2 linked regions of the Lonchura striata genome follow. The protein of the gene in region 1 purifies or fractionates together with the protein of each later gene. This does not show direct contact. Links are inferred from orthologs where the notes say so. Each region holds a gene or a part of one and is shown on either strand. Other genes may lie near its edges.

The links. The genes of interacting proteins can lie anywhere in the genome.
Region 2: the proteins of AFG2B (region 1) and TIMM13 purify together in Homo sapiens (co-immunoprecipitation; 3 studies listed by BioGRID and IntAct, with this or other methods). This does not show direct contact. The link is inferred for Lonchura striata from reciprocal best matches to the Homo sapiens genes AFG2B and TIMM13.

The regions. Positions count from the first base shown.
Region 1 is NC_134613.1:14,383,870-14,390,887, reverse strand, and holds the start of AFG2B (ATPase family gene 2 protein homolog B), read right to left. Parts: upstream 3,108-7,018; 5' UTR 2,983-3,107; coding exon 1,900-2,982; intron 877-1,899; coding exon 691-876; intron 80-690; coding exon 1-79. UniProt on the Homo sapiens protein: ATP-dependent chaperone part of the 55LCC heterohexameric ATPase complex which is chromatin-associated and promotes replisome proteostasis to maintain replication fork progression and genome stability.
Region 2 is NC_134630.1:1,496,185-1,502,489, forward strand, and holds TIMM13 (mitochondrial import inner membrane translocase subunit Tim13), read left to right. Parts: upstream 1-5,046; 5' UTR 5,047-5,108; coding exon 5,109-5,234; intron 5,235-5,385; coding exon 5,386-5,454; intron 5,455-5,529; coding exon 5,530-5,628; 3' UTR 5,629-5,763; downstream 5,764-6,305. UniProt on the Homo sapiens protein: Mitochondrial intermembrane chaperone that participates in the import and insertion of some multi-pass transmembrane proteins into the mitochondrial inner membrane.

The sequences.
Region 1 (7,018 bases):
GAAAAGAGGATGGTTGAATTTTTTTAAAAGCTTCTTGGAAATCTCCCATGTTGATCATGGTTTCAGTTTCAGTTGAATCCTGAAAAAGTAAGCCCAGATAGAGCATATTAACACCATTTTAATGCAATACTTAAATGCTTCATTAATATGCAAACCACATCACATAGCGCTAAATACAACTAATAAGGAAGTCAATACCTGACCTAATGAGCTTAAACACTGCACAAACAAAAGCGCAACATAAAGTAAATAACAAGTTTTTACAAAAAAAGTTTATCAGAAATAACAAGTTTTAATAAAAAAAAATAACAGAAATTAATGTTTCAGAGAAAACTACTAGTCCCTAAACTATAGCTCCATTAGGCAGTGATCTGCTAAATCAAATAGTTGTTTTCAGGGTTAACATACATCACATCCCACAATCTTACAAATAGAAAGAAAAAAGTTGCAAAATCCATTTTCACCACACACTGAAGAATGTAACACATTTTATCTGAAACAGGTTATAAAATGCCACTATTAAAGCACAGATGCAGTAACAGGACTAAGGAGAAAACTGAAAGGAGCAAAAATAACATATTTATAATATGATTGGTGTGAGTCTTCAACATGTTGAGCTTTTCAAGTATTAATGAGGAAAGGGTAGTACAAATATTACTGACATTGTTCTTGACTGATCTGCAACCATACCAAAGAGCTGTGGGACACAGCCTGCATGGCAGCTTCTCTGCAGAGTGCTGTAAGGTCAGCTCCAACATACCCAGTGGTCATTTCTGCCAGCTTAGCCAAATCAACCTCTGCAGAAATGGGCATGTCCGATGTAAGCAACTGCAGGATGCATCCTCTCTGTGTAACTGTTGGGGTCCCGATAATAACCTAAACCAAACACAATAAACAAAAATTTTAAGTAGATAATTTGCCATTCTCATTTATTTTACACACCTAAGCAAGCAACTTTGTCTCTGCTTTATATTGGCTACTAAAAATTTATATATACTTATATCCCAACAAAAGAGTTTTACAGGAAAGCTATTGCCAGCTCTATACAAATGACAAGTATTTAAAATACCATTTACTTTCCAAGTGAACAGTGTTTGCATGAAGATTTGTTGATAAGACATTGAAATAATAATAATTTCCTTACATCACAAGCACTAAATTAGACTAATATGTTAGGAAAAAATAAAATAGATAAACATTCATACATTATTGAAAACCTGGTAAAACATCATAATAAAAATACATCTCAGATAATAATGAAATAATAATTAATAATTAATTATTATAAAGCCCAGAAAATAATGAAATTTATAATCATTAAAGAACTTGATTGAACTGGTGATCTAGAGTGGGTTTATCCAGGAAAAGAAACAATACAAGCACAAGCATTGTGTATTGTATAACTGCATGTGTTCTTCTTCTTTGGACTAAAAGGCTAAAGGAAGTTTTCCAAAGTAGACCCAACCTCTGTTACTGAAACCTGAATAGAAGTTTTGACACAGCAGGTTACTAGTTCTCTATAACAATAAATGTTTAAGGAGAAATGCACAAATCTGCAATCTAGGATTTATATGGAAAAAATCCAATCCTGTAAAGCTAAGCATCTGTAAGCAAACAAAGCCCCTGAAGATCAGGTCAATGTCTTTATGATAAAGAAGTAAAAGGATTCCTCCCATCCATTTCCATGTACATGGAGCTCTCAGTGATCTGAGTAAAAAACACCAAAACAACCATACCCAAGTTGCAGCAAACTAAAGACAGAAACAAGACACCTGTGTCAAACCTGTAGAATCCCACTATGAAATGACTAGAAGACATTAAAAAAAACCTATTAATAGCCCCCTTCCACCTCAATGAAGAAAGAAAAATGTGAATGTATGAATAACAGGGTTTATTTACCTCTCTGTCAAATCTGCCAGGTCTTCTCAGTGCAGGGTCTATGGCATCAGGCCGGTTTGTTGCTGCCACAATGACCATCTTACCCTCACTCCCTACACCATCCAGCAGCGTCAGCAACTGAGCAACAATACGATCTTCAGGAGCATTGTTTGAATTTCCTCGCTTTGGGCATAATGAATCAATCTCATCAAAAAAGAGAATGGTTGGGCCCTCGTTTGACATCTCTCTGCCCTTTTCAAAGACTCTTCGCAAATTCTCTTCACCTTCTCCTGGTCTTGAACCATGGAGGGCCGGGCCACTGATACCAAACAGATATGCACCCAGCTCTTTGGCTACTGCCTTTACCATTAGAGTTTTCCCCACACCTGGGGGCCCAATTAACAGCACTCCATTAGGGACAGAAAGACCCAGCTTCTTGAAAGTTTTTGGAAAGCGGAAAGGCAGATCAATAATTTCTTTCAAAGACTTCGCTACATCATCCAGTCCTGCAATTGGAGTTTTTGCAGTGTCTTCGGACAGATGTCTGTACCATTCTAAAGTGATCACCTCCTTAATTTTTATGCTTGTTTGGGGAGTTATCAATCCAGCTCCCTCCTCCTCCACCAAAGGAGACGCAGACAGTATTTCAATATACACCGCGGGATTTTCGGGACTCGGGGCAACAGTAACAACATAACGAGGCGCAACGTACACGTTTCTTAGCAGTTCTCTGATGGTCTCCTGCAACACCGCTCTGGGAGTCGACTTTTTCAGCGCGGCGCTCTTGAGGACCACTCTCACGGCCGCCGCCCGCAGCTGTCGGTGCGGCAGCAGCCGCAGCCGGCCCGCGCTCAGCGAGAGGCCGCGCAGCCGCCGCGCCCTCAGCCCCGCGCTGCTGCAGCTGAGGTCGGCCTGCAGGTACCCGTCCGCTAGGTCGTGCCGGGGCCACGCCGTGCACAGGCAGCAGCCGCCGGGCAAGGAGATCCTCAGCGGGGCGCCGATCCTGGCTCCCAGGAAGGAGAGCGCGGCAGGTCCCAAGCGGCACCGCTGCGTGCCCTCATCTCCTGGGTCGGGCGGGAGCAGCTTTAAGACTGCCGCCTCCATCGCTGCCTCCGCGAGTGAGGGCAGCAACCCCTCTGCTCTGCGCGGGCCCGTCGGCCCCTTACTCACCGCGCCTCGCCTTCCCGCGGGGCTCCCGCTCCGCCAGCGCCCGGCGGCGGGCGGGACGGGACCCCCGGGCCGGAGCGCAGCCCGGCCGCTCGCGCGCTGACAGGCGGCCCCGCGCATGCGCCACAGCGGAGCACGCGCACTGCGCCCCGCCTCGGCCCGCGCGGGTCGCGGGAGGAGTTCGGTGGGAGTGGGGCTCCGAGGTCATCGAGTACAGCCTGTGTGCCAGCATCACCGTGTCTCACAGTGCCACGTCCAGTCTGTCCTTAAACACAGCCAGGGACAGTGATCCCTGGGCAGTTCATTCGATATCCAGTCGCCCTTCCTGTGAAGGATTTTTTCCTAATGTTCAACTTAAACCTCCGCTGGTGCAGCTTGAGACTGTGGCCTTTTGTCCTGTCTGGGAGAAGAGGCCAAGCCCCACCTGGCTACAGCCTTCTTTCAGGGAGTTGTGGAGAGCAATGAGGTCCTGCCTGAGCCTCTTTTTCCTGCTCCCTCAGCCATTCCTGATAGGATTTGTGATCCAGGCCTTTCAACATCTTTGTTGCCATTCTGTGGACCTGTTCCAGTCCCTCAATGGCCTTCCTCAACTGAGTGGCCCAAAACTGGCCACAGTACTCGATGTCTGCCACCTCCCTCATGCCCTGCCTCAGCCACTGCCCTGGGCCTTCCTTTGGAAGGGCTGTCAAAGCAATGCCTGTGAGGTGAGTGCTGTGTCCTGGAGATCTCTTATACCCTCATTCCACAGATGAAATACATTGGCCCCCCCTACCCCCCCTTTTCTAATTGTCATCTGGCTTGTTATCCACAGAGCTGGTCACAACAGGACTTGTTTGCCACCCTCATTTCTTTGCCCTCTTTTTGAGCCCTCAGCACTGCCCGTTTGGTTGGTGCTTCTGAAACATCTTCCCAAATGTGTGGCTTCCCCATTCCTGTGCCCCTGCCAGTGCTTCCCTCTGCTCCGTGGTCACCAGTCACCGTCACTCAGCTGTGGGTGCTGGTTAAAAGATGTGGGGAGCCACACGATTGGCTTGAGAAGCTGCTGATACAAGTAATTAAGACACTCATTCAACATTTGGTAAACCTGTTCTAGTGTGCTGCTCTGACAAATACTTAGCATTTAAGGAAAGTTTTGGTCCACCACCTTCTTAGATTATGCCATGAATTGTGTGGTGCTTTTATAAAAAACTTTCCAGGAGGTCTGCCAGTGTTGTAGGCTACAAGATAAAATTTAGTATGTGCATAGTTTTATTCTTGAAAGTAGCTTCATTTTAAATAAAGTCACACGTGCTGAATACACACAGACTTTGAGACCACAGACATACAAAAATTGGGATGTCAAATGCTCAGTGCTAGTCAGACACAGTCAAATTCACAGAAAACCCAGAGAAGGTGGTTTACAGCATAACTACAATCTGTCCTGCATTGTATTCTGAAGGCCTCAGGAAGGACAGTGTAAGAAAACCTTTGTGGTTTAATCACATTGCATACTGAACCAAGGCTGTACACAAAGTATTTCAGTAAGTCATGTGAATAAAAGCAGGCAGTGTTAAGAGAACCAGTTCACAATAGTTCTAAATGCTGAATAGTAACTCACAAAATTTTGTAGGGCTGCATAGTGTGAAAAACAGCAAGCCTTCTCCTTAAGCCTAATTATGTGCAAAGGGGCCTGTAAATAGCTTTCCTTTCAATTCATTACCAAATTTTCTAATTTCAGTATTTATTTTATATTCCTCTACTTCTGAATATCTACTTAATCTTTCTTTTCATAGCAAGGTTATTTACTGCATACATATGCAAATGTTTATATGGAATATGCTCATATGGAATATGTAGACTTAGCAGGTATTTGTTGGAGGACATACCAGAGAATGTACAGACAAAAGATTATAAGGAACTTTCATTCCAAGACGGCAAGTGTATTTTCAAGCCAATGTCTTATAAACATATTCTCTTGTTTTATTTCTTTCCAGCAAAGGTTTTCATAAACATGAGTGCCCTCAAGTATGTACTCAAAGCATACTCTGTGTAAAATGGCAGATTTGTGTTTCAGAGTTTCAAACTGTAAGTGGTACATCCTCTGCTTGGTTTTAGAAAGTTGTGTTTAGGAAAGGAAAGTATGGGAAATTGAATATTTGCAATGAGCTCTGTGGTTTATTTTCATATATAGTGGTTCCCTCTAACAGACTTATTGTAACATCTGGAAAATCTGATTTCTTATGAGAAGGAAAACACCTGCAAATCTAACCTTAAGTAACAAAGTAACAAAAGTTAGTATTCAATATAAAAACTCTGCTATTATTGTTTGATGACTGCATTTAAGTAAATTTTTACTTAAACTTCTTTAAAGTTTTTCTGTATTTTATTGCTGTAATACTGATTATTTTACTTTAAGACACTGATAGTTCAGTTCTTTTTAGTATAGTGAAGCCCCCAAAAAACTAATATGTCCTATTGAAAGGCCAGAGGATTGGCTTATTTTTAACAAATTGTGGAATCACATGTATGTTATTGATATATTTTCGTAGAAAACTTAGCTGAGTGACATTACTCTTATGTCAAATGCATACTTTTTAGTAGCCATGCTTCTGAATAATTTACAGACCCCAAAATTTACAGAGATGAAGTGGCAAACAATATTCCTCCAAGAATCTTGTTTAAATTGGCAAAAAACTGAAAGTAATGTTTTAAACAGTATTCTCACTGTTCACTAGATGGCAGCTGATCTTCAAGAATGGCTGTATTTCTCTTTTGAGATCTGATAATTTGGAGGGAGTAGTCATCAGTTCTTGGAGAAATCAAATATTATCCAGCATTGTCTTAACTCCATTTCTAATATGAAGCTGAAAAACCAGCACTGTGAATGTTCAGATAATTTTCAGCTTCATTGCTTTTTTTTGTTGGGCTTGTTGCTCTCTATTTCTAGGGAAGCATGTTACTCTTTTTTTCCCCCTTTCATATTTACTGTGCCAGACTAACTTCTTTTAAAGGAGAACATACAATTATCAAAGGTTCTAAAAAGAAAGAACAATATTTCATTATTCTTTTTTTTTTATGTGTAGTGGGTTTTGGTGGACTAATGTTCAAAATTCCCAATTATTGTAACTCAAGAAATAAAATAATCGTCTTGTTACAATAATTCCCTGCATACAAAGTCAATAAAATATTAAACTGATTATTTTTTTAAGTAGGTTTTACACTATCTATTACTCTAATGAAAATCTTCATTTTAAATTGACAAGTTAACTGTTTTTAACATAGTCTTGTTTCAAGGTAGATGGATTTGAAGATGTGGTCTGATTGTTTATTAATCAAATAAGGATAGTTCAAAGTGAGTAGCTGGCATGTGTATGCTTTAGGGCAAGATTTTAGTATTTGTGGAGGTTCTTTGAGTATAAATGCTCTATTACACTTAGGCCAGATATTGCACATTTCAAACACTAGGCTTTGTTATAACAAAAGCTCATAAATAAATAGTAAAGACATGCTTAAAAATGGAATGGAAAGACCTTTTGTATGTCTGCATGTCTTTCTGGGAGGGCCACCCTCAATGTGTTTACTTAATTTTCTAGTGATCATCCAGTCTTGTATCTTTACATGGAAAAAGTTCCATTGCAGTTAGGAATTTTGGATTGGCAGGGTCCAGGGGATGGGTTAGGCTCAGGCCTTACAGTGTGGAAAATCTCTGCCTGCTGACAGACGTTTCAGAGAAATCCCTGTACCTTAGGTGGATACCATTGATGCTGCATCTCTACCAGAAGTCATTGCCATCATGGCAGATGTATGGAAAAATGTGTGCCTGCACCTGGAGCCTGCCAGCTTAAGAAGCTCACTTGTCTTAAGTTGCCAAGGAAAGGGTTTTATGCTCAGGCTCTACATTTCTTTGGGAGTGACTGGAGTCCCAACTGCACCTTCCCTTCGCTTGAAACTTTGGGGTGAAAGCTTTTCAAAGAAGGGAGAATGGACAACTGCA
Region 2 (6,305 bases), on another chromosome or scaffold:
GATGTTTTCGGTGGCTTTTGGACATCATGTTCTCTGAACAGTATTGTGACTGACAGATATAACCTAGAAAGTTGGTTTAGTGGCTTGGATTGATGGCTTTGTTATGCAAGCAGAGTGGGAACAAAAGGGGCTTTAAGCTTCAGGATTTATTTTGTCATTTAAAAATAAAGATACTACTTTTCTCTCCTTGAGTGGGATAACTGAGTTGCTGAAGTTAAGCTAGTAGACATTTAGAATTATGTTTTAATCCATTATCAGAAGACCCATTACAAAAAAATGAGATAAAGATTCGGCTGTTTGGGCTGATGGGATAACTGCATTAATGTACTTGGCCATCTTTCTATTGTAATTTTTCCACTCTGCTTGTGTAGAAGGTTAAATATGTAGTAAATCATGTCTCTCTCTCTGTAAGATGTATCTAGTGAAATTATGTTTCTCAGACATACTGTTAAAATTACCTTTTCTAAATTCATTGTTATGCAAATGAATGCAATCAGTGTAAAGTTATTTTTGCAACACACCTTCCAGCCACTGGACACAATTTCCCTTTTCTGACCCACAGCTTCTATAATATACTGACATAGTGTTTGAGGGCTTTTTTGCTTTTTCCCTAAAGATCTGTATTTTTTACATTGGCCAGTTTTTAGACTGCTTATTCCTTTAAGATTGTCCTGTAAATTTAAGATTATTTTGTGATCTTAAATACTAAAGTAATGAATATGTAGTTAATTTACTTTTTTTTCTGTGGTTTTTGGTTTGTTTGTTTCCTGTAAAGAATGGCTTCAGAAAGGCAGCTCAAATGAAGAAAAACCTCTTGCTACCTGAGCCATAGTTTTCCTAACAGCTACTGTATGAGGAGTGTCTCTTTTTGTAGCCTGAAGAACTGGTGCTTGCAGATCTCGTGTAATGAGCACTGTGCCCTTGAGTAACAGTCTGCAGAATTTGTCTTTAGAATTGGAACTGTGGCCTTTAACTTTGGAAACGGTTTATTTGATTCTTTGGGACCATGCTTAGGTGCATACAGGTCAAATAAACCTGTGAACACTGTGGGAAAAGCCAAGTCTGAATGTGGATGATTCTGTTACCACAGTGCTTTTTAATAGGCTACTACAAATATGATAAATAACTCCTGGCTGTAAATTACAAGATACAGAAGAACTACTGTATTCCATGTACTTTGTTTTTTGTGTTGCCTTCTCCAGACACCATCCTGGCCTTTTGCTTTTGATGCTGAGCTTCAGTCTAACAGCGCTGTTCCAGCCATACTGGGAGGCAGTTTTGTTGCTTTAAATACCCAAAAAACATAGTTTATTATTTTTTTCTGTCTTTCCAAGATTTCTCTCTATTTTCAGGATATTTAAATTTTTTTGTTCAAATAAAATCCAGTCTCCTTGCCCCCTTTTTCTCTTGATAAAAGTCTTGATAAAATTAGAATGTGGACAGCAGTTCTACTTCAGTGCTGGTACTCGGCATAAAGCTTGAAGGAGAAATAGATTTGACTTGCCCGGAGAAAAAGTATTTTAAGGTGTCTCTGATGAGGGAAATGAAGCTCTTATCAAGTAGTTACTTGAGCATAACTACCCATATGGATTTTCTTATTCCAGAAATATAACCTTATTGTGAATGAAATAGTAAATAGTTTTTCCTATGTGTAGCTCGTAACAGAATACCATATAAAATACAATAAGCACATCCTGCCTCCTCCTAAGTTCATGCCACATGAAAATGCTTGTCTCAGAACAAGTCCATCCATCTGCAGACCTGTCAGGAACGTGGTGCCTTCTGGAGTGAGGTGTGGCCTCAGAGTCCCTGGCATTTCATGCCATTTTCTTCTCCCTCACTTCTGCATTTGTTCCTTTAACTGTTGCATTGCAGTGACATACTCCAAGGAGTGGAGTGGCTGGGATTCCCTTGTTCCTACACATCCGTATTTCCTGTGATTTCTTTGCTGCCACAGGTGTATTTCCTGTTCCCTTTGTTGCTTCACAGCTCTATTTCCAAGCAGGTCTCTTTATGTCTACATGAGGCTCCAGCTTGGCTCTGACAGAACCCATCATTTGCACTGACATGTTGCTCACTTATCTTCAGCTCTGTGTTACCATTAGATGGGCAGTTGGCTGCATAGTCTTTGTTTATAGCAGGAATCAAAAGTCTCAGGACTTTTTAATGCTCATTCTATATAAAGGCCCTTTAACTGCAACCTTAACAGAGGTTGCAGGTTAGAAGAGACCTGTAAAAATCCTCTTTACACCCCAGGACCTTGGAGAATCTGTTACCTTTATGCACATCAGAAAGGTTTTGATGCTGCAGGAAAGTATGCACGCTGTATGTTCTAGGTCTCTTGTAGCCACCTCTCATGTCTTCACTGTTAAACCACTGTGTCTCTTCTTTCTGTATCTTCTTTTGAAAGTCTTATCTCTAAACAAAGACATATCTATATTTGATCCTGCATTTTATTGACACTGTTGGGTCCAAACTCTGTGTGAGCAGAGCCTTGTGAACCAGTGAGCGGAAGGTGACATAGTGATTGCATTTTTCAAAGCACTGTTTTAGCTGAATGTCGGGACAAATTATACTGGATAGATTGTTTTCTCATTATATTGGCCTGGGAAACAGAATTTTTATTTGCCTTTCAATATGCTTAGCTTTAAACCAGTTTAAAATTATTTAAAGGTGTTTGTTGGGTTTTTTTTTATACAAGACCATATTTATATGCAATTATTATTTGTAAACGTAATGCTTTTCTTGAAATGCTAAGGTCTAGAGTGAAAATGATGCAAAAGCCTCCATTAAGAATAGCACAGTGAATTGACTTGGAGTTCCAGAAAAGATGTTGTTTATTGAACTTCCAGATTTTCTAGTTAGCTATTACTGAAGTGACAAGTCCATCTTGGTAAGGCAGATGTTACTATATATTCAGCTACCCAGATTGTTACACTAAAATTACATGCAATAATCTCTTGAGCAAGTTTAAGCCAAAATGCTTTCCATTTGGGCACAAAATACAGTTGATCTCTTATTTTCATAGAGTGATGCCTTGTGACTTGAATTGTGATTTTTATGTTTAATTTTTTTTTACAAAATTTTGATTTAAACAGGTCTGGCTTGAGGGTGCTGCAGTAACCACCTCCAGTCAGCTGCTGCAGATGGGTTTTTGGAAGGTTCATGTTTTTTAAATCAGGGAGCTATGAAAAAGGCTGTTAACAGAAACATAAAGACAAAACAATGAAAGTGTTCACTTGAAACTTAGAAAAACTACATCATGACCTAGACTTTATAATTTCAAAGTGGTTTGTTTTTTTCTTTTTAGACTATGCATGCCAAATGTCTTGTCTTTTTCAATGATTTGTAATATACATTTTATGACTGGAAACTTTTTGTACAACATACTCGAATAAATGTTTTGCATTTTATTGGTTTTCTTCTGTCTACTAGCCAACACACAGGTAACATGGGCTATTTGAGATGATTCATCAAAGGAGGCCTTTCAGTGTGGAGAGAGGACATAAAGAGCTGCTGTCTGTGCTCCTAACTGATCAGCTGAATTGTGTTCCAGCAGGGATCGTGGGGTGTGTTCCAGAAACAAACAAATGCTTTCCTTAAATGTGATGGAGCCTGGTGGAACCTGCTGTCCTCTCTGATCAGTACCAACAAAAGCAGGGGGAAGAATATCTGGTGCGGTGTGGAGGATCAGAAACAGGACATCACGCCATGATCAATGTGATCAAGTGAAGCCAACTTTATTATACAGAAATCTATATTTATAATATATTCTAATGTCCCTCTAGCTAATACATGATTGACCATTCCTGTCCATGCATCTCAGACTAAATGCTGTTTGGATCACACAATTCTACACACATATTGCTGTGGTCGTCTAGCCCACCCTTAGTCCTTTTTTTCACTTTCTCGAACTTTGCTGACAACTTGGTGATTCTTGCAGACTCTTCTCTCTTCAGGAATTCACTCTCCTTGGTCCTTGAACTGGTTGCTTTGTTACCAGAAGGCTGGATTGTGAATCTGCTGAATGTGTCCATTGTCCTGCAAAAATTCCTCAGCAATCTGGGGCCGGAGCAGATAAACCTTCACTTGCTTTCTCATTGCCGCTGCACTGAAGGGGTTTTTTGATTTAACCTACTTGACGCTAAATAAGAATGAGAGTAGAAACGGATCCCTGGCAGGGATGGACAGAAGTATTGCCACCAGCTGATGCATTTGTCTGCCTGGCTCAGCCTCCAGCCCATTTTTGAGTACAGACTCAAAAGTGGGCTGGAAGCTGAGCCAGGCTGGCAAATTTTAAATTCATTTTAAACTTGTACCTTAAACGCGTTTCATTTTAAATTTGTACCTTAGGTGGCTGCCCTATTATTAGCAGTAGCAGATGATGTTTCTTGTGGAGTGGTAGGAATGCCTTCTGTTTGAAGTGGGCAGATCCAAAGACAGGATGATATGGTTTACAATACTCTGAGTGTGGGCTCGGGCTACTGACGATGAGCACAGTTTTGGCTTCAGCTTTGCTGTGGTACTCAGTGCCCTCCTCTCATGCCATCTCCTACCTGCACATCACATCTCACCCATGAAAAAGAGCTCCCTAGCGTGGTCCTCTCGCATTCGTTTCTACTTCGACCCACAGCATTCTTACTTAATGGAAGGAAGTGTAATGAAGCTGACTTTAAGGGCATGGGCCTCTCACCCGAGTCACCTAAGGCAGAAGAAAGCCTCGAAGAACAGAAGGATGAATTCCAGGAGAACCCATACGGCAAGTTTCTCTCTGCGGGGATCTCAGCAGAGCTGCTGTTTCACCACCGGGTGCAGCTGTGCGGCGTTTGTGTCTCTGGTGATGCCAGTTTAAAGCCCCTTCCCGTTGCCCTCAGTTCGTGGGGCTGCGCTGAGCCCTGGTACTCGAGCCCTGCTGCCTGAACCCCTCGGGAGCTCGCTCGGGGCCGCGGCCGGCAGCGGCACGGGCGCCCCCGGCCGCGGGGCGGGCGGAGCGCTCGGCCCCGCCCCGGCGGGGGCGGAGGCGGCGCTGGGCCCGCCGGGAGCCGCAGGCCGGGCGCCGCCATTTCTCCCTGCGGCGGCGCAGGGCCTCGGCCGCGCTGACTCTGGGCATGGAGAGCGGCTTCGGCTCCGACTTCGGCTCCGGAGGAGGCGGCGGGGGCAAGCTAGACCCGGTGCTCATCATGGAGCAGGTGAAGGTGCAGATCGCCGTGGCCAACGCGCAGGAGCTCCTGCAGGTCAGAAGGGGCGCGGGGCCGGGCGGGGGCTGGCTCGGTCCCGGCGCAGGTCGCGGGGGACGGCCAGGCCGCCCCGCTCCCCTCGTAACGGGGGCGGCGGCTGCAGTCGGAGCCCCCGGACCGCGCTGCCACTCATGGGCTCTCTCCGCAGCGGATGACGGACAAGTGCTTTCGGAAGTGCATCGGGAAGCCCGGCGGCGCCCTGGACAACTCCGAGCAGGTGAGGGCGGGCGGGAGAGCTGGGCACCCGCGGCCCCTTCGCTCGGGGCTGCCGCTGAGGCTCTGTGTCCCGCAGAAGTGCATCGCCATGTGCATGGACCGGTACATGGACTCCTGGAACACAGTTTCGCGAGCCTACAATTCTCGGCTGCAGCGGGAGAGAGCCAACATGTGACGCCTGCCGGCCTCCGGGCCGAGAGGGACCATGTGGGGAAGGGACAGCGGCCAGTCCAGGTGCTTAGGGGTGAATCCTGCTGCCTTCCCAGCCCCTGCCATGGCAGAGCAATAAAACCTCGCTGAACCTTTTGCATCTATTGGCTTTTATTAGCACCAGCTCCAGGAGAGAGTAATTTTTTTTTCCATGAGCTGCTAGGTTTACTTCTTGTCCTTCCTAAGTGTCCAGACTGGCCCAAGGCATTATATCAATTGGTAAGTCCCTACTGAAAGGGCTGTGACAGGCAACGAGCCTTCTGTGGAAAATAGGGACCAAGCCAAGTCAGCAACACAGTACCCTTGCTTGGGATTCCAGCATGGACCCATCCATAAGGTTGTTAGTCCCTTTTCATAGTGGAAAAACTGCCAGAAGATTGTCCACATGCCACCTTGGATCTTTCATTGCTTAGATCTGTATAGCATTTTGTGGGGCTGTCTTTGGGGTCACAGGCTTTGACTCAGCTCAGGCACAGTGTTGGGGAGCAGGACAGCCTTGCAAATGGTTGTATGAGCACAGCTAGGGATGCAGGGTTGAGAAGGACTGGTTGGGAAGTACTTCTTTTCTTTATAGAATACAGTGTGTTGTGTGGCTGTGATACACTCTAGTTTCTGGTTTGGCTCTGGCACAGGTATTCCCTC